Linked DNA regions of Arabidopsis thaliana. The protein of the gene in region 4 purifies or fractionates together with the protein of the main gene of each other region. This does not show direct contact. Each region holds a gene or a part of one and is shown on either strand. Other genes may lie near its edges. The genes, in order: TRA2, LTA3, NIR1 and SDH6.

Region 1 (4,784 bases), on a different chromosome or scaffold from region 4:
GCTATTTTCAGGCTTCTCTTCTCAAGTCCTTGCTCAAGGAAATGAGATAGGTTTTGGTTCAGAAGTCCCAGCCACAGTCGAAGCTGTCAAAACGCCTAACTCAAAGATTGTCTATGATGACCATAACCATGAGCGTTACCCACCTGGTGACCCTAGCAAGCGTGCATTCGCCTATTTTGTCTTGTCGGGTGGGAGGTTTGTTTATGCCTCTGTCCTCCGCCTGCTTGTTTTGAAGCTTATTGTGAGCATGTCTGCAAGTAAAGATGTCCTTGCCCTTGCATCCCTTGAGGTTGACCTAGGGAGCATAGAACCAGGAACTACCGTGACAGTCAAGTGGCGTGGAAAGCCCGTCTTCATCAGGCGAAGAACAGAAGATGACATCAAGCTGGCCAATAGTGTGGATGTTGGATCCCTGAGGGACCCACAAGAAGACTCGGTTAGGGTCAAGAATCCAGAATGGTTAGTGGTTGTTGGAGTGTGCACTCATTTGGGGTGCATCCCCTTGCCTAATGCTGGTGATTATGGTGGTTGGTTTTGTCCGTGTCACGGATCACATTACGATATATCTGGAAGAATTAGGAAAGGTCCTGCACCATACAACCTGGAAGTACCAACCTACAGCTTCCTGGAAGAGAATAAGTTACTCATCGGTTGATTAATAAAAGCACAACAGTCAAGAGTCTGGATCTGAATGATGATCTTCACTTGTTCTTTTTTTCTTTTAATTAATATTTTCCGGCATGTTAGAGCAAGATTGACTTGTTTTTGCTGAATAATACAAACTTGTGATTTTTGTTTGAAGTATACTCAATCTTCGTTTATCCATCGCTAGTAAAAGACGACTATGTTCATAGTCTGTGTTTATTATTTAACATGCCTATTTGTCCTATGTATGAGTGAGATTCCTTTCGTATCTCATAATTCTAAACATCGTCATTCCAATTAAAAAGTTGTATTTACATTTGAGTTTCGATAGTATCTCAACGTTCATAAAAGAAAAACTAAAGGTATGAGAAAAACCAACGTAGAAACAAACAACAAAAGGTAATATATCAGCTTTGATTGATAGTTTACAGGAAGATAACCGAATAAGTTCAAACTGTATTCGTAAGACATCCCGTGAATGAATATTCAATCATCCAAAAGTGGCATAGCTAGATTTTTTCTAGATTGGCTAAGAACACAAAAACATAATATTTTATTCTGTTTAATCTTTTTTAGTTAAGAAAAAATGTTTGACACACAAAAGCCAAAGTTTGATTTGGGTAAAAACCATTGTGGGAGATGAAAATGTTAAAATCTTGTTTGTTTTGGTCACCAACAACGGCCATGAACTATATGGGAAGTGACTTATCTCTTGTAAGTTGTTTTCCTTTTGGGATATGGGAAGTGACTTCTCCGACCCTTGCAAACTAACAACGGCCATTACACACTAATTACAAGCCAAAGGTCCTCACTAAGCAACCTCTCGTGTTTATCATAAGACACCGCTCTATCTCTTATTATTTTATTCATTGTTTTCTAATTTCAGACTGATTAATCATACATTAGAGAAAGTTTATTAAAACCATCTGATGTAAAAAATCACATTTATCTAAATTAAATAAATTTGTTATCTAGTATATAACTATTTATTGTTTTAACATTTGGATAAATTGTAAGAAATTAGAATGTAAAATAAGACAGAAAATGGTCAACTATGAGCATCTATCGCCATCATGATATAGTTTCGTCGTTTGCGTTCCCGACCTAACTCAAAACTTCACCAACCCCATTTTTAAGCCCCTTTCTTTGTTTTTATCCTCCGATCGATCAAACCAAGAAAAAACACTTTCGTATTTCCCTCGACGAAAAAAATGGCAACCATTTCGAATCTCGCTAATCTTCCCCGCGCCACCTGCGTCGACTCCAAATCTTCTTCCTCTTCCTCCGTCTTACCTAGATCCTTCGTCAATTTCCGCGCTTTGAATGCAAAGCTTTCCTCTTCTCAGCTTTCTCTTCGTTATAACCAACGATCAATACCTTCCCTCTCGTAAGTCTTTATATCCATTTGATGCATGTCTTTTGTCTCTGTTTCTCGCTCTTGGGGTTCACCAAAAATTGAATCTTTTTAGCTGGAAACGTACCACGAATCTCAAAGTAACATTTTTTATAAGATGGATTAGGAAAAGCAACTGTATTTCCCCTTTTTGGTTGGTAAAAGTCTGATTTTTTTGTTTAATTTGCAGTGTGAGGTGTTCAGTGTCTGGTGGAAATGGAACTGCTGGAAAGAGAACGACTCTTCATGATCTATATGAGAAGGAAGGTCAGAGTCCTTGGTATGATAATCTTTGCCGTCCAGTCACAGATCTTCTCCCGTTGATTGCTCGTGGTGTTAGAGGTGTTACTAGCAACCCTGCGGTAATTTTATCATCTCTCTTTGTGTGTTTGGTTTTGCTTTTGCTCTGTGTTTGTTCATTTGTCTTTACTTCTTCACTTTTTATACATTTGCAGATCTTCCAAAAAGCCATTTCCACTTCAAATGCTTATAATGATCAATTCAGGTATCTTTTTGTGATTGTCTTAGACTTGTGGTTGTTAACAACATGCTATTAAAACTTTAGAGTTCTTCTTTATATGAAAAGTTGTCTGATATGTTAATGGTATACCTGACATGCACTATTAGGACACTTGTGGAATCGGGAAAGGACATTGAAAGTGCGTATTGGGAACTTGTGGTGAAGGATATTCAGGATGCCTGCAAACTTTTTGAGCCAATCTATGACCAGACAGAAGGTGCGGATGGCTATGTCTCTGTTGAAGTTTCACCTAGGCTTGCTGATGATACCCAAGGAACTGTTGAAGCTGCTAAATATCTTAGCAAGGTTGTCAACCGTCGTAATGTCTACATTAAGATTCCTGCTACTGCTCCATGCATTCCTTCCATCAGGGATGTCATTGCAGCTGGAATAAGTGTCAATGTCACGGTAAGTTATCCTAGTATGTTTCATTATTCAAGTTTCTTATTGCAAGTTTTAAAGAACTTCAAAATAAAATAAGTCATAATACTTCAAATTCATGTATTGTGTGATGATGTGCTAGATCACTGGATTTCTTGGGCGTTTTAAACCTGAAACTAGATTAGTTCAAGGGTGTTCCAAGGATGCACTGATGTTACCTTTTCTAAATCGTTTCTCATATGTTCTGTTCTGTTTCAGCTTATATTCTCAATCGCCAGATATGAAGCAGTGATCGATGCATATTTGGATGGCCTCGAGGCGTCTGGACTTGATGACCTCTCAAGAGTTACCAGTGTTGCTTCCTTCTTTGTCAGTCGGGTGGATACTCTCATGGACAAGATGCTTGAGCAAATTGGTACCCCTGAAGCCTTAGATCTCCGTGGGAAGGTAAAGCTCTATTCATCGCTGAGATCTTACACCAGCCACTGTGAGTAGAGTATTAGCTTATGACACATGATATGTTTACTCTTGCAGGCGGCTGTGGCTCAAGCTGCATTAGCATACAAGCTATACCAGCAGAAATTCTCTGGCCCAAGATGGGAAGCTCTGGTAAAGAAAGGTGCCAAGAAACAGAGACTTCTCTGGGCATCAACAAGTGTAAAGAACCCAGCTTACTCTGACACCTTATATGTCGCTCCTCTCATCGGACCTGACACTGTAAGTCATCTTTTTGTTTGTGTTGAAGTCAATAGGCTGTATTAACGCTTTGGAAGTATATTCATAGTTTTTGTGGGTGTGATTTAGGTATCAACCATGCCGGATCAAGCCCTGGAAGCATTCGCAGATCATGGAATAGTGAAGAGGACAATAGATGCGAATGTGTCAGAAGCAGAAGGGATTTACAGTGCACTAGAGAAGCTGGGAATAGACTGGAACAAAGTAGGAGAACAGTTGGAAGACGAAGGAGTAGATTCCTTCAAGAAGAGTTTCGAGAGTCTGCTCGGTACACTGCAAGACAAGGCCAACACTCTCAAACTAGCCAGCCATTGAGGAAATGAGTCATCATTATGTTTTTGGTTACGCTAAAATAAAAAGAAGAACCTTTGGCTTTTGTTCTTCAATCCTTATGCATGCTTTCTAAAGTGGTTATGATGGATTTTGCTTGATGTTCCACATTATGGGTTATTCTATTTTCTTTGTTCTTGTAAGATGATGCTTCAGAAGAGTTTGTTACTTTTTACCGTATTTGTAATTTACATTTTCACTGAAAACAATTGGCGAGTAAAAAAGTGTCCTTGTCTTCTTCTTTGTTCGGATTATATGAACAATTGTTCCTAGAAGCCTCTCTACATAAAAAGCTGAGACTTTATCTCTCATCTCTCTTTAGACGTACAAAAAAATCAGTTTTTTAAGTTTCACTCTAATGGCGTCAATTTCGTCCTTTGGCTGCTTCCCTCAATCCACAGCGCTCGCCGGAACTTCCTCCACCACCGTACGACGCCGCACCATCTCTCTGTTTCTTCTTCTTCTTCCTTTTTATTCACTGAATCTCTCATTTTGATTCTCAGAGATGCCGGACGACTGTGGCTGCTCGATTAGCTGACCAATCAGATGACTTCGCTCCTCTTCGTTCTTCTGGTTGGCTTGCTTCTACAGTTTTACTTTTCTGTTTCCTCCTCAACAGTGAATTGAATTATAACTTCAGTTTTGAAAACAGGTGGGAATTGTGGATGTGTTAATAATTCTGGAGAGTTTGATCGCAGAAAGTTGTTGGTTTCTTCTGTTGGTTTGTTGATTGGAGCATTGTCATACGATTCTAAAGATGGAGACTTTGCATCAGCTTCT
Region 2 (7,647 bases), on a different chromosome or scaffold from region 4:
TGAAACATGTGATCAGAGTTAACAATGTAGACCAGCAGTTCTGGTTCTGGATGTGCACGTGGGTTGGTCCGAGGTTTATTATGTAGTAATCCAAGATTCATTTGGTAAACAGTTGGATCTTTCTCACAGAAGAAGTCTTCGAACATCCTCAAAGTTTGAACGCAATTCAGACATAAACGAAGCTGAAACAAAGCCGGTTTCATAGAAAAAGCAATGAGTAACAAAGGAGAAACACAGTGAAATATGGCAGCAGCATAACATAAAACTCGAAACGAAGGGATTTATGAATGTTCCATTACCTCCAACTTGTCCATCAAAGATCCGATGATCAGCGGATAACGTTACATTCATTTTTGTCACAACAGAAGGCTTCTCAATTCCTGAAACAATGACGAAAACTTGTCATACCATGATCAGAATAGCAACCCTAGTTGAAAACCCAAAAGGATTCTACTAGCTCACCATCTAGTCCAATAACTGGCTCAACCACTTTGTTTCCTCTACCAACTGCTAGAATCCCAGCCTGCAAGACAATTGATAGTCCTGAAGTTTATTATCCAAAAAAACACATCTGCATCTCTATAAATATTAAACTAAATCCTCTACACCACAAATTACAAACAGCAAAACTTAATCTTCAATCTGTGATTCAGGGTGCATCGTTAAGGCTATGATTACCTGAGGGGGGTTAATGATTGCGCAGAAATTATCCACAGGATACATTCCTAGATTTGATATGCTGCAAAACGATAAAGTATGGTTTTCTCGTTAAGTAGGAAAAGTTACACATGATTGATAATTCCGTACTATGCTTAATAACTTAAAAATGATGAATACCTGAATGTCCCTCCTTGAAACTCATGAGGAGCAAGCTTTCCAGATCGAGCCTTTTGTGCCAGCTCCTTAACCTGATCCAAAAATCATTTGACATATTAAAATTCATAACTATAGCGATCAACAACACATGGAATATGGTAAGAACTGATCAAACATATGTGCCTCTATAGCCTTCCATATTCGTTTAACTTCAGAGAGAATAAAATTACCTCTAAGGAAATAGCAGAAATAGATTTCTGGTCTGCATTCTTGATAATTGGAGTCATTAAGCCCTGCAAAAAATGCCAAGATGATGAGGGATAAACTGTTGAAATGATCAGAAAATCAAACACACAAGTGTACCTTCTCAGTTGCAACTGCAATTGATATGTCAACACTGTCACACATAACGATATCTCCTTTCTCAGCATCCCAGAAAGCTGCCAGACATTGAGAAAGAGAACTTTAAGCAACCATAAGAAAGGTTTGAGAAAGCAGAAGAGAAAAAACAACCACACGATTCCAATCCACAAATCATTACATCAAACTCACACCAAAAAATGTCCTACTTGTAACGACTAAAACCGAGTCTAAAATGCATTACCAGTCATATTGAATGTTACAGTATTACAATCTCAAAACATCTTTACTAAATACTCTCAACGGAGGTAAACGGCATTGCAAGAATAATCCAACATGGAAGCCGAGTTTCCTTAAAGAGGATGAACTAAGGTTTTAATCTAGCGCATAGTTAGGGATGGGAACAAACCATAGTTTAGTTATTTTTAATGAAATCATTTACGAGGAGAAAATAATTTCTCACCATTAGCTTGTCGTACATTCCTCAGTGCGACTGCCACTGCTTTAATAACTATGTCATTGACAGACACTTTAACGCCATGGTTTTCTGTAGATCATGAAAGTACAGTTCACTCTGAGCCTCTCAAGTTGTTAATAAATACCAGGATGTGTGATAAGAGCAGTCTACAAACCTTGAAGTTCTTTTCTAAATGCAAGAAGAGGATCCAATACAACATCTGCAGGCAAAATAAAATGCTTAAACAGCAAATAAAATACACAAAGAAAATACAAAGGTTGTGAGTCACCAACCTGATTGTAAATACAAATGGGGTATCTTCTGTTTTGATTCCAATAAACGTTTTGCTATAATCTGCCAAGTGGGGAAAGTAAAACAGAATGCAGCAGGACATATTTCATCATTCTACATAGAGAGTAATAAATATGTTAATTTACCTTGCGAATTTGACTATTTGGAAAATCTTCATAATTATTATCTGACTGTGTCACAGAAGGCTTCGATGTGGAGGAGGATTTAGACGGGGTCTCCTTTGATGGTTGCTTCTTCTTCGTAGACGCAGATGATTTAGAAGCTTTTCCAGAAGCAATTGCGGCCACAACGTCTGATTTCAATAATGTACCATAGGGACCCGATGCCTCAATTGATGATGCCTCCAATCCATGTTCTAAAATCAATAGCTTTGCAGCAGGACTGATCTTTGTGAAGCCTGCTTTCCTCTCTGTAGGTTTATCTACAACACTGTCAGGGACTTCTTTAACTGTATCAACCTCAGAACTACCTGCGGAAGAAGACTTGATGGCTTCAATACTTTCAGCATCTTCAACCTACAGAGAAGAACGATTAGCTTATTATATCCCCCAATCTGCAAGCAATTGTATTTTCAAAGATTTTTTGTGCAGGCATAACTTTTACTTCAGGCAATATATAACGTAGCATGGAACTAGAAGAGTGTCGACCAATTTATGCACAAAATGCATTACACACAGGCTAGTAAAACAAATGGATTAAATATACCAGTCGTAATACAGTTTTCTGGCATAAAGAATTCAGTCAATGTACTTTTGAACTAAAAGACTTACTATTAGGGCAATCGGCTTTCCCACCGCCACATCCTTGGAACCTTCAGGAATTAGAATCTTAGCTAAGTACCTACACAAAAGTCATCCATCAAGTTATAGAATCTATTATATAACTTCACTCATTTGATCCAGGAAATCAGTTTTTGTAGAGGAAGCCCATACTCATATGAAAACTACGAAACATGAAATCAACCTTTTAAATCACTATCAGTTCAAGGGGGAACACTTGGAGAGACCTTACTTTTTGCAATTAACATTTACTTCTCACTTAACCAAACAAGAAAAGAAGCAATATCCACAGATAGTGAATGCTATATAGAATGAACATCAACATACTGCCTAGAAAAAGAAATAAGACGACAAGATGTTAGTTATACCCCTCTTCAAGGCTTTCAAATTCCAGAGTGGCTTTGTCAGTCTCGATCTCACCTATGACATCACCCACTTCAATCTGTTTCATGAAATGAGAAGAATCAACACAGGCAAGTGCATAAACATCAGATTTCTTGTGGTGAAATTACAATGCCAATTTACTCATCGGGTCACCAGAAACTAACCTTGTCACCCTCTTTTTTCCACCATTTGGCAATATTACCTTGGTTCTGCACATCAATAAACAAATAATTCAGAGTCTTAGGATAGAAAGCTGAATGCCTTCTCCTCCAAAAAAAGCTAGCATAAAATATGAAATTTCATACCATTGTAGGAGAAAGTGCTGGCATTTCTAAGACGACATGTGGGGGAAGATCTGATGCATCGGGCTGAATGGAACTTTTTTGTTGTGTGCTTTCGTCAGGTTTCATCACTTGATGAGCTGATGTTTCCTCTTTACCATCTCGTCCACCCTCTATGGTAGCAGGAACGTTTTTAATGTCGTCTTCCTCCTCAACCTTGGTTACAATTAAATAGATAAGATTAAACTCTTATCCATCAACCTTATGTAGCAAGATGTTGACCAAAACTGTAACCAATATACGCTACACCCTAAACCCTACGATATATCATGTTTGGGGACATAACATGACAACTCAGTATGGCAAACGGAAATATTTAGAAGAAGAGAGCATGAGATTGGATCTTGGACATTTTTCCACAATAAATATTGACAACGAAATACCATACATCTCTATGATTTGTCAAGTCTTCCAGAATGTAAACCCAGGAAACGAAAGAAAGTGAAAGAGGCCAAGAGCAGACTAGATAAACAAACAGGAACTCCTAATAAGCGTATGTTGATGCATGCATCACCTTTTGTGAGATCATACTTGGTTTCTATAAATGTATAAGACAGCCACTGTGCTTACCATTATTGCAATCGGTTCATTAACAGGGATATCCTTTGATCCTTCAGTGACTAAAATCTTGGCCAGAAATCTGCAGAACCATGCTTCATAGTAAGCCAATTGACATTTTCATATACTTATAGGGAGTCAGATATTTGAATTACCAAGGTATAATGAAATAAAAATACAAATCAAAACATAAAATCATGAACCGTCTTTTTCAAAATTACCCTTCCTCTTGACTCTCAAATTCTACAGTGGCTTTGTCTGTCTCTATCTCACATAGTACATCACCCACCTCTACCTGTCAGGAAGAACCAAATTCATACCTGTTACTGAGAATTTCCACATTCTATATTTTCTTTGCCAGCTAAATTATCAATTTATCGTCTTTCTTGTATAATGATCATTAGTAGACAAAATCATAAAAGTCGACTGAAATTTTGTCAACCAAAAATAAGAAATAACCCACCTTGTCACCTTCTTTCTTCATCCATTTTACAACATTTCCATGACTCTGCAAAAGCCCAACAAACATAAAACAATGATTGAAGTCCAAATGTCTTGGAGGAGGCCAAAATTCTTTACAAGATTGAAGTCAAATTTCCTACCATAGTAGGAGACAAGGCTGGCATTGCAAGAACCGTCTGTGATATGGGTCCTACAACCCAAAGAAAATAATAATTTAATGGAAGAATCTTGTATAATTGATTGCATCTCCTGTCGCTGTATCTAAGGTATGATGGAAGCACAAACATCAGAGAAAAGAGTGATATGGAAGTTTTTGCACCTGCATCAATTAACATTTCTATTTTTCTACAAGTTAAGCGAAAGTTTCCATTAATTATTCTTATCACCCACTTAACATCTGTGTTGGTAAGTCTTATGGCTAAAACAATTTAACAATTGCCGACAGGTTGCTCAAATCAGATGAAAGTCCCATAATCAACTCGTTTAGTAATTCTATAATGGAATTGCTTGGTTGACTCATTTATGAAGATCATTATTCCATAAGATGACATAACAATCAATGAATACCTGTAGATGAAAAGTTTTGCACGCCAAATCGCAGCTACAAGAAAACAATGTATGTGAGAAACACGGATAGATGAAAGTGAAAAAAGAAAAGAAACAGTACTAGCTGTTCACTTACAATGGGCTTTGGAGAACTATCATCCATTCTTGTAATCAAGTCTATAGAGGCAGACCTGAAAATGTAGAACAGACAAAATCTCAAACTAGACTAACAATCTAACACATACGAAACGAACTAAATTATAACCTTAAACTTTGAATGCCTACGATCACACTGACTTTTTCTATAAAAATAAATCTTGTCCTCAATTTGTGATATGGAACACATACCTCACACCATTACTGCTACTAATTTTGTCGTCCAAGTGGTATAGTCCATTAGAAAAGCTGAATAAGAAAGTTCATTGTCAAATGTATTGGAAAGGTAAAGAGATCACACCAGTTTAAGGACACACTTGTTCTTCACTGCGAGTGACGTAAAATGGAAATTACATCTCACAAACTAGAGAAGATAAACCCGTACTACCAGTTCGATAAGAAAAAATGGATAGTTCAATTGTTCCAACAAAACCAAATTTGGCATTCTTAAACATCACTATACAATACGTAATAAGAACTCCAAAAAAAGTCAATGGATGATTGCGGAAAAGGAAAATGAAATCGAACTAAGAAACAGTTCAGTCATCGAATTGCAAAGGATCACACATGGAAGAAGAGCAACATCAAAATACTTTGAAAGAGGCGGGACTAGATAGAGAGAATAAGCGTACCGAGAATGGAATTCGGAGGCAGGAGCGAAAAGACGAGCTCTGAGAAGCGAGGAAGTCCGGGCGATCGCAGCGCGCCGGAAGAGCGGAAGCACCATGAGAGCACTTGGAGAAAAGAGAGCAGGGTTTGACAAAATCACAAATGAGAGAGACGATGATACCGAATCGTAACACTTTTGATTTTGGTCAGATCGCAGCGACGACGGCACGAACGATTCTATGACATTAGGAAAGTGTTCATAATTCAGATACGGCCCGGTCCGGCCCGGATTAACAAATACCAGTAATCTCTACCGAACCGGAAATTCACACTTTTAATCACATATTTAATTGTCCGGTCGAGTGACGAACCGAAGTTTATTAGACATTAAAAGAGTGCCATCGATTAAGGGTTTGATTGGTTTGTTTGTGCGACCACCTTCTACGTTTCCGAAAGGTCGCGGTTACATAAATACAGATTCTCTAAATTGTTCTCTATACACTAAAGTCTTATACCGTTCAAGTTTATAACCATTTTTAATCAGAAAATAACATGTATCATTGTATCAAAGCTTAACGGTAATGGGTTTTAAAATAAATGTTTTACAAATTAATAAGAAGTGAACAAAAAATTTCTCTCTACAATTATCAACTTGATTCAAGTTAAAATAGTTAATAGAACATATAGTATTTTGAGAATCTGTCTCAAGGTTGAGTTTTGGTAGTAGTACACCAGAGATCATCGTTGTTGTTGGACTTATGTGAATCAAATGGAAGCGATTTGACCAGCGAGGGGCGAATGGGACATTATTCTCTAATAGTTGGAGGTTGATGCTTCTGGATGGTTTGTTCTTGATGGGACGCGCATGGGAGTCGAATCTTGAAACAATAGCTAGGTAGGTGATTTTCGAGACGACATTCTTAACGTTAATCATAATACGATAAGATGTCAGAATAGTGAAAAACCAAAAACAAAAAATTGGGAGTAGACAAATAAGAGGTAGAATTGTGTTCTTATACTTGATGGTGAGCTCAGAAAAAAAGAGAGACTTAAGATGTAGAAGCTGAGTATCGTCGAATGTAATAAGCGATATATGTTGCTTGTTGAATGCAAGCCCAATTAGCGATATCTAGTTAAGGAGAACGACATATAGATCAAATCTCATATATCAAAGGTATATGAGCTAGTCTTTATGAATTATGGGTGTGTTGTAATATATCAAGAGATTCTTTCGATCTGTACAGATGTAGTGAACGAGTATTTATAAGAAATATATGACTGGAACTAGTGACAAAAGGTTGAGTGAGTTGGTCGAATCGTTTAAGTTGTTGGATAACAAATAATCGAATACGTTATATTGTGTGTAATTTCGGCAGATGGAACATGAACTATTAACACTACTAGATAACTTTTTGTGATGCGTCGTCACTTAGGTGGAAGAAGGCATGCACGCGTTGTCGAACAACACGTTTTTCTCCATACATGCACATAGCCAGTCTCATGTGGATCGTCAAGCATTTCCAGCATCATAGGAATTTGATCATTTTTGCTTGAAACATGATTTGTTCTACGCAGTATCAAAACTTAGTTTTGAGATATAATACTCTTTAACTATTGTATATAAAATTTTAATTGACCTATGTGATACTATTAATATTGTTTAATTATTTATCTATATTTTTCTTTCTAATTTATATGTACAAATTGATTTATTTATTTTTAATTTCTTACTATTGTTATTCTATATAGTATTTTTCTCATCTATATCCTCATAATTTATTTGAAATCGTCTCTAATATTTTGTTTGTGTTAATTATCTATATAAAAGTTTAATTCCTTTTATACTTTATTTGTAACTAGTATTATA
Region 3 (4,988 bases), on a different chromosome or scaffold from region 4:
TTTTTGTTAGTTTGTCAAGTTGATTTATGGATATATTAATTCACGTGGTCAATTATTTACGTCGAAGATGTGATAGATATTTAGTAAGCCGGACTATAGGAACAGGAGTGTGGAAGCCACACGTGGAATAGCGGTGGAGAATAATTTGGATGGATGGCGGTTTAGGCCGAACCGGGGAAGGTTTTGTTTCTTAGACATCGTGAGAAGTCATACGTTATGTCCTTAAGATTTTAAAAGCTACAAGAGCCACTAGCTATTTTTCAATTCCAATATGATAAATTAATTCTTTGTAAGCTAAATTTTATTTTAATTTCTAAATAAATGTTAAATTTTGGATAATTAACCCTAAAGCCATAAACAATTCAGAAAAAAATAACAAAATTATAACAAGCCTATTCATTGAAATTCATATATGTACAAAAAAGCTATAAATGTTCATAGTATAAATGTTTTATGTACTATAATATGTATGGATATGCAAATTCATATAAACATAAAAAATAGCAGTGATTAATATGAGATATTTAGTTCATAATTTGAATGTTTATAGTATAAATTTTGTTAATTTTTTATATAATTAAAAATGACAATATATGAATTTTAATAACCAAACATAATGTTGTCACCTCGATGTATACTAAATTGCAGGAAGATGATACATATAAGTTGAAAACGATTGTGCGAATAATCTATAGAAAAGAAATATAAATTAGAAAAAAAAAGACAATGCTAACGTTTTGGTGTGGACAAGAAAGAAGACGTTGCGACTTGCGATGATGTTTGAACCTGCAGGTAGTTTGATTCATGTCTCTAGAATAACGCTAAAGAACACCTATGGCTCTGATAACATATTATTAATATTTACATTTATTTTATTTAAAGTAGTCCATTCATAATTGCACACGACTAAATGCTACACAACTTGTCTTAGTTGTTTAATCAAGATATTTTTACCTTATGATATTTTGTGAAAAATGATACCTATAAAATCCCTAATGAGCACATCAACCTTTTTTACCTTATTATATTTTGTGAAAAATGATATCTATAAAATCCCTAATGACCACATCAACCTTGAATCTTCTCTAATAAACCTTTTTTCCAAACACGCACTAAACCAAAAATTAACATCTCAAGAGGAAACCATTTAAAAAAAAAACAGAGTTAGATTAAGATCAACAAATATAGTTGAAAAGAACATATGTTAAGCAACATTACCATAAATTCATAATTAGTAGTGATTAAAACTTAAGAATACTAAAGTATGAATATGAAAATTGTTGTATTTTTTTGTAGTATGTAATATGCGGAAACTTGGATGTTATCCTATTCATTGAAATTCATATATGTATGTAGTTATCATTTTTTAAATATATTAAAAAATTAAAAAGTAATAATACTATAAACATTCAAATTATGAAATAAATATCTCATACTAATCACTGCTAATTTTTTTTCCAATGTTTCTCTTTAGTATTTCTCTTTAGTATGGGAGTGACAAACTTAATATGAAATCTATCTCCCTACATGCAAAAATCGAATCTCTTTTATTATTAATGAAGTGTATGGTCGGTGTCAATAACTAATATGTCATATTTTTTACAGACTGTTCAGATATGATAAAAATAGTTTTTTTCCAACCAAATGGTTGGTCTTCTGAGTGTATTTGAAAACGACATTGAAGAATTAATATATTTTTTTTTAATTTTAGTTTTTTATAGTACAAATATTAAAACAAACAATCCTACCATATCATAACATTTGTAAATAACATTTTAAGTTTTGTTTTGAGTTTTAATTAATTTTCTATGACAAAAAAATGAAGTCAATAGACTAAGTGAATCATATAGTATAAATAAACACAATTTAAATAGTTTCAAATAAATTTAGAAAGAATAAAACAAATAGAAATCAGAAGGTGTCTGTTTCCTCCTCGCAACATACGATCAAAGAGAAACAACTTGACCCTTTACATTGCTCAAGAGCTCATCTCTTCCCTCTACAAAAATGGCCGCACGTCTCCAACCTTCTCCCAACTCCTTCTTCCGCCATCATCATGACTTCTTTCTCTCTCACTTTCACATCTCCTCTCCTCCCTTCCTCCTCCACCAAACCCAAAAGATCCGTCCTTGTCGCCGCCGCTCAGACCACAGCTCCGGCCGAATCCACCGCCTCTGTTGACGCAGATCGTCTCGAGCCAAGAGTTGAGTTGAAAGATGGTTTTTTTATTCTCAAGGAGAAGTTTCGAAAAGGGATCAATCCTCAGGAGAAGGTTAAGATCGAGAGAGAGCCCATGAAGTTGTTTATGGAGAATGGTATTGAAGAGCTTGCTAAGAAATCTATGGAAGAGCTTGATAGTGAAAAGTCTTCTAAAGATGATATTGATGTTAGACTCAAGTGGCTTGGTCTCTTTCACCGTAGAAAGCATCAGTGTATGTTCCTCCTCTCTATCCTCTTCCATTGACTTGTGATTGAACTGTGTAAAGGTTTCGTCTTTAGTCTTATGTGTGCTTCTTTCAATGACTTGTGATTAAATTGGTGACCAGATTGTGTAAAGGTTTAGTCTTTACTCTTTATCTTTAGTACATTTTGATTTATGAGTGCTTGTTGTTGATTTTGTTGTTGTAGATGGGAAGTTTATGATGAGGTTGAAGTTACCAAATGGTGTGACTACAAGTGCACAGACTCGGTATTTAGCGAGTGTGATTAGGAAGTATGGTGAAGATGGGTGTGCTGATGTGACTACTAGACAGAATTGGCAGATCCGTGGTGTTGTGTTGCCTGATGTGCCTGAGATCTTGAAAGGTCTTGCTTCTGTTGGTTTAACGAGTCTTCAAAGTGGTATGGATAACGTGAGGAACCCGGTTGGGAATCCTATAGCTGGGATTGATCCGGAGGAGATTGTTGACACGAGGCCTTACACGAATCTCCTTTCGCAGTTTATCACCGCTAATTCACAAGGAAACCCCGATTTCACCAACTTGTGAGTTCTCTTTTTAGATTGATGTTGTGTGTTGGTGAGTGAATGGTTATGCTAAGATGGGTTTTTGTTTGTTTGTTGTAGGCCAAGAAAGTGGAATGTGTGTGTGGTGGGGACTCATGATCTCTATGAGCATCCACATATCAATGATTTGGCCTACATGCCTGCTAATAAAGATGGACGGTTTGGATTCAATTTGCTTGTGGGAGGATTCTTTAGTCCCAAAAGATGTGAAGAAGCGATTCCTCTTGATGCTTGGGTCCCTGCTGATGACGTTCTTCCACTCTGCAAAGCTGTTCTAGAGGCTTACAGAGATCTTGGAACTCGAGGAAACCGACAGAAGACAAGAATGATGTGGCTTATCGACGAACTTGTAAGTACATGCTTCTTGCAATCTTAAATTCGGTATTGAAGTTCTTGGTTGTTGATTTGTCTGCATGAAATGTATAGGGTGTTGAAGGATTTAGAACTGAGGTAGAGAAGAGAATGCCAAATGGGAAACTCGAGAGAGGATCTTCAGAGGATCTTGTGAACAAACAGTGGGAGAGGAGAGACTATTTCGGAGTCAACCCTCAGAAACAAGAAGGTCTTAGCTTCGTGGGGCTTCACGTTCCGGTTGGTAGGCTACAAGCTGATGACATGGATGAGCTTGCTCGGTTAGCTGATACCTACGGGTCAGGTGAGCTAAGACTCACAGTAGAGCAAAACATCATCATCCCAAATGTAGAAACCTCGAAAACCGAAGCTTTGCTTCAAGAGCCGTTTCTCAAGAACCGTTTCTCCCCTGAACCATCTATCCTAATGAAAGGCTTAGTTGCTTGTACCGGTAGCCAGTTCTGCGGACAAGCGATAATCGAGACTAAGCTAAGAGCTTTAAAAGTGACAGAAGAAGTAGAGAGACTTGTATCTGTGCCAAGACCGATAAGGATGCATTGGACAGGATGTCCCAACACTTGCGGACAAGTCCAAGTAGCAGATATCGGATTCATGGGATGCTTAACACGAGGCGAGGAAGGAAAGCCAGTCGAGGGTGCTGACGTGTACGTCGGGGGACGAATAGGAAGTGACTCGCATATCGGAGAGATCTATAAGAAAGGTGTTCGTGTCACGGAGTTGGTTCCATTGGTGGCTGAGATTCTGATCAAAGAATTTGGTGCTGTGCCTAGAGAAAGAGAAGAGAATGAAGATTGATTCAAAAGCTATTGGATTCTTAATAAGTCAAGAGACCTATGAATGGTTCTCTCTCTGGTTTCAGACTTTGATACTTGATACTTGTATTTGTATTGTGCCCATAATTTTGGGTTTTGTAGCTCTCTCCTTTGTTGTAACCTGTAACTTTGTCCTTGGTTGTTTTGTAATATCTTGTTTTTTAGTAATAGTAGTATAATCTGATTTTTTGTCATATATTGTCTTGATTTCTCTGTGATATTTATAAGAAATAAACATTTGTTTCTTTTTACCTCCAATATTTTTGTTTTTGATATATCAAAAGTTAAGGGAATAGATTTTAATTAATAAAATATATTGATAATATTCTTAAAAGATTATTAATAAATTAAATTGTTTTTTTTTTAACGTCAATTTCATTAATTTTTAAGAAAGAGTACATGGTAAATAAAGCCCAACAACACAATTATAAAGTCCAACTACAAACCCAATAGAAAGATTACAACTTGAGATTAAACTAGGTTTAGAAGGGACACGTGTTTAATTATCTGTTCTTGCGCATGTTGGATGAGAAAAGATGCCGATATGACTCATCACCGCCATCTTGAGTTGAACCGTCGATCGAAATTACCTAGTCCGTCGTTGAAATTTGAACCATCATAATTATTAAACTCTGGAACACGCGACATAGCAAGAGGGCAGATCAGTTGCAAAACACACTCTCCTGAACTGTTCTACGCCGGCCACCAAAGCTCCACTCAACACAATTCACGATCTTAAAGAGGCACCTTCATCGTTACCAGATTATGGTGCCAACATGGGAATGAAGGCTTTATTCTTT
Region 4 (3,710 bases):
TCAGAATATCCATAGTGGGATGAAAACTGAAAACGAATATTGTATGTTGCAGCACGGAGTTGCAATAAGGTCAGGACACCACTGCGCACAGCCACTCCACCGGTATCTTGGAGTGAATGCAAGTGCACGCGCCAGCCTCTACTTTTACAACACAAAGGATGACGTTGACGCCTTCATCGTTGCGCTGGCAGACACTGTGAGCTTCTTCAACTCTTTCAAATAAGTGGAACACCTTCCTGCTGGATCTCTCGGCTGGTTTGTATGGTATATTGCTTCAGAGGCTACTTATTTAAATCTGCTTTATATGATCAATGGGAGTGGATTTTGTTTCTTCAAGTCCGAAGGGCAATTTGTGTTGTAGTTAGCAATTTGTATGAAAAAATAGACCGACAGTAGTCATGAACAATTTCAGGCCTCTACTTGATCATATTTGTACGAATACACACGAAAGCAAATGCTTCGTTGTTAATTTGTAAGTTTCATAAAAAACAAACTCAACATGAAGAAAAGTTACTAATATGAATCATCAAAGGAAAGGTTTCGATATGTGCTCAGTTGGGGTAGTCGTCATTCCCTGATTCTTTTGAGACCATTTGGTTTCTTTGAATTCATTTTCTCAAATCTTCAAAACATTCATGAGGCATGTTGTATTATTAAGACAAGGCAAACATGTTCCAAGAGTGAGAATAGAAAAAGTTTCAAAGGCGAAAGTCTGGAAATGGATGGATAATCAGCATTTCATGTTGTTCCCAAGAAGATACTCTGGACGAGAAAGCAGCACACGTCTTCGTTTTAGATTCAGGACCTTTATTGAGACTTACGTTCCCACCATTCCATGAACTTAACTTGGGCTGCCATTGTGTCCAACTTGTAGAGTTGCAGTGTGTGGTTGGCGACCTCTTGCCCAAAGGTCCAACCAAAAACACCTCCTCCTAAGAAGGACAATGCAGCACCTGTCGCACCAGCAGTAGTTTAGAGGTGTCAAAAGTTGGAAGAAAAATAAACAGCAATTTAGTATTGAGAAACAATGTAAGCGCCATGAGAACTGCATAAACTTTCAAACCAGTTTCCAAGTATTATCAATATAGGACATAAAGGTCTAATTGACTCCCAAATAATCCCATTATCCCTGAATTGCAAGCTTTGTGTCTTCGTTTGAAGAAACAAGTGAGGTTTATAAAGAGCAAATAGTTATTCACAGAGAGAGAAATGTCATTACCATGTGGACTCCTGGAGTATTTCCAGGCAAAAGCAGCAGTAGAGACAGCTCCAAGTGCAGCTCCGGTAACACCAAACGTCACAGCTTCCCTAGCCGTTTTCAGCTGGATAGGATGACCACAAATACACAATGAGTACCAAACGTAAGATCTTCAGTAAGAATACCAAATACCAAACCAACAGTTCAGTTTTTGCTAGGTTTTTTATGCCATCCGACGACGATGCAGTGGGCTTAGTCCTCTTGTATCTGTGCTTCCAAGGACTAAAGCCAGAAAAACCTAGCCTAGTGGAACTTTATTATATCAAAAAGTAACAGAAACTTTCCAATGGAAAATCAAATGAAGAAGAAAAAAATAAACCGATGACAGCAGAGTAAAATCGAGTACCAGCCGAGTCATAGATAATGGACCAACAATATCTATAGATTCCAAAACACAGAGCGAGAGAAAGATAGAAGGAAATTACGGTGGGTCCATGAACGGGATCGGAGGCAATGAATTCCTCGACGTCGGAGGAAGACCAAGAAGGAAGAGGCGCGTCGCGTTTGGTGAATCTGGTGTAATTTTCGAAAAATGATAACCTATCACTCCAGAAATCCTTCAATCCATTCCAATTTTTCCCAACAAATGACTCCGAATCTCCCATCTTTCTCAGATCGATTAATCAATCTCCTTCTCACTGCAAACTTTTTCTCTGATTGAAGACGATTATTATTTGCAGAATAAATAAAACTGGTCTACCGAAAAAATGGAAGGTCGATCCGGTTCACCCGGTTTTCATGTTTCTTTTTTTAATTTAATACCGGGTTGCCATCAGATTAGCCGATTTGCAATTGCTCCTTGACTTTTCTTAATATATCGAAAAAGAGCAGCAATTGAGAAAAGTTTTAAATTTTCAACCAGAAAAGTGTACTCTACTGCAACTACTTCTTCTCTACTTCTCTACCTTAAAACTTCCCCAACCATTTTCTTCTTCAAATCATCATCATCATCCCTCGTACAAAGAAAATGGCCATGAGCATACTCGCGAAGATCTTTCTCGTCTTTGCCATCTATTGCGCTATCGATCCCTTCAGTCACAGCTCCATTTCCAAGTTCCCGGATTTCAAAACTTACAAGATTGACATGCCTCCGTTATCGTCACTTCCAAAGGAGAGAGACCGCCAGAATCTGTTGCAGAATTCAGAGATCAGGTTTCTTAACGAGGTTCAAGGTCCCGAGAGCATTGCTTTCGATCCGCAAGGTCGTGGTCCTTATACCGGAGTCGCCGACGGTCGAATTCTCTTTTGGAATGGCACTCGTTGGACAGATTTCGCATATACTTCGAACAATCGGTGAGTCTTGTGATTGCAATCGAGTCTTTGTGACCATTTCGTTTCCAGTAAAGTTCTCAACTTTGATGTTTTATTAGGTCAGAGCTATGTGATCCTAAGCCATCGCTTTTGGATTACTTAAAGGATGAAGATATCTGTGGTCGGCCTTTAGGTCTTCGATTCGACAAGAAAAATGGGGATTTGTACATTGCAGATGCGTATTTGGGGATAATGAAAGTTGGTCCGGAAGGAGGTTTAGCAACTTCTGTTACAAACGAGGCTGATGGTGTGCCTTTGAGATTTACCAATGATCTTGACATTGATGATGAAGGCAATGTTTACTTTACTGATAGCAGCTCTTTCTTCCAACGAAGGTATGTAAGGTTTTAAAGTTTTGATCTTTACTAACTCTCCTGATCAGTGGCTTGCATAAAGTGTTGCTTTTTGGAACTCATGTTATATTGATTGAAATGATCTGTCATAGGCACATAAATTGAAAATTTTGACTGCGGCTATAACTTCAGAGCCTTAAATGTTGAATTCTGTTTATCTTTTGAGGATCTACAAGAAGTTGCAATGAGCTTCCGATGTCTAGTTACTACTTTTGTTTGAGTATGTTGATTGCGCTATTTGTAGGAAATTTATGCTTTTGATTGTCTCGGGGGAAGACAGTGGGAGGGTGTTGAAATACAATCCAAAAACAAAGGAGACTACCACTCTCGTGAGAAATCTCCAGTTTCCTAACGGATTATCCCTCGGCAAAGACGGCTCCTTTTTCATCTTTTGTGAAGGATCTATTGGAAGGTGAGTCCTTCATCTTAATTCCTCTCTGACTTCCACATCATTGTCTGTATATATACTTGGCATAACTTCTGCAATCAGCATTTCTGATTGAAGCTAAAATGGAACGATTAGCATGTTGTTTCCATATCGTTTCAATGATTCTGCTAGAAACAAACTCCAATACTGTGAACAGAATCTAAGTCATTTTTTGTTGTTGTTGTTCAGATTACGGAAATACTGGTTGAAAGGGGAGAAAGCTGGAACGTCAGAAGTGGTAGCTCTATTACATGGGTTCCCAGACAACATCCGCACAAACAAAGATGGAGATTTCTGGGTGGCGGTGCACTGCCACAGAAACATATTCACACACTTGATGGCGCATTACCCGAGGGTGAGG

What was found.
Region 1: the proteins of SDH6 (region 4) and TRA2 purify together in Arabidopsis thaliana (affinity purification with mass spectrometry, with the first as the bait; one large-scale study listed by BioGRID). This does not show direct contact.
Region 2: the proteins of SDH6 (region 4) and LTA3 purify together in Arabidopsis thaliana (affinity purification with mass spectrometry, with the first as the bait; one large-scale study listed by BioGRID). This does not show direct contact.
Region 3: the proteins of SDH6 (region 4) and NIR1 purify together in Arabidopsis thaliana (affinity purification with mass spectrometry, with the first as the bait; one large-scale study listed by BioGRID). This does not show direct contact.

Annotation. Positions count from the first base shown.
Region 1 is NC_003076.8:4,301,285-4,306,068, reverse strand, and holds TRA2 (Aldolase-type TIM barrel family protein), read left to right. Parts: upstream 1-1,753; 5' UTR 1,754-1,856; coding exon 1,857-2,032; intron 2,033-2,228; coding exon 2,229-2,400; intron 2,401-2,493; coding exon 2,494-2,543; intron 2,544-2,665; coding exon 2,666-2,966; intron 2,967-3,197; coding exon 3,198-3,386; intron 3,387-3,473; coding exon 3,474-3,656; intron 3,657-3,743; coding exon 3,744-3,989; 3' UTR 3,990-4,277; downstream 4,278-4,784. Other genes in the region: AT5G13430 (Ubiquinol-cytochrome C reductase iron-sulfur subunit), read left to right, coding at 12-655; AT5G13410 (FKBP-like peptidyl-prolyl cis-trans isomerase family protein), read left to right, coding at 4,363-4,431, 4,508-4,577, 4,657-4,784.
Region 2 is NC_003074.8:19,358,568-19,366,214, reverse strand, and holds the start of LTA3 (Dihydrolipoamide acetyltransferase, long form protein), read right to left. Parts: upstream 6,010-7,647; 5' UTR 5,899-6,009; coding exon 5,804-5,898; intron 5,421-5,803; coding exon 5,364-5,420; intron 5,207-5,363; coding exon 5,152-5,206; intron 5,071-5,151; coding exon 5,037-5,070; intron 4,888-5,036; coding exon 4,610-4,887; intron 4,516-4,609; coding exon 4,471-4,515; intron 4,303-4,470; coding exon 4,229-4,302; intron 4,090-4,228; coding exon 4,020-4,089; intron 3,606-4,019; coding exon 3,414-3,605; intron 3,318-3,413; coding exon 3,273-3,317; intron 3,167-3,272; coding exon 3,093-3,166; intron 2,786-3,092; coding exon 2,716-2,785; intron 2,461-2,715; coding exon 2,071-2,460; intron 1,988-2,070; coding exon 1,927-1,987; intron 1,854-1,926; coding exon 1,809-1,853; intron 1,724-1,808; coding exon 1,640-1,723; intron 1,257-1,639; coding exon 1,180-1,256; intron 1,110-1,179; coding exon 1,047-1,109; intron 909-1,046; coding exon 838-908; intron 740-837; and 8 more.
Region 3 is NC_003071.7:6,808,496-6,813,483, forward strand, and holds NIR1 (nitrite reductase 1), read left to right. Parts: upstream 1-1,899; 5' UTR 1,900-2,056; coding exon 2,057-2,432; intron 2,433-2,628; coding exon 2,629-2,983; intron 2,984-3,064; coding exon 3,065-3,353; intron 3,354-3,430; coding exon 3,431-4,171; 3' UTR 4,172-4,446; downstream 4,447-4,988. UniProt on the Arabidopsis thaliana protein: Catalyzes the six-electron reduction of nitrite to ammonium.
Region 4 is NC_003070.9:2,682,493-2,686,202, reverse strand, and holds SDH6 (succinate dehydrogenase subunit), read right to left. Parts: upstream 2,028-3,710; 5' UTR 1,864-2,027; coding exon 1,684-1,863; intron 1,323-1,683; coding exon 1,220-1,322; intron 954-1,219; coding exon 808-953; 3' UTR 501-807; downstream 1-500. Other genes in the region: CPNIFS (chloroplastic NIFS-like cysteine desulfurase), read left to right, coding at 53-223; SSL3 (strictosidine synthase-like 3), read left to right, coding at 2,226-2,551, 2,629-2,904, 3,167-3,334, 3,539-3,710.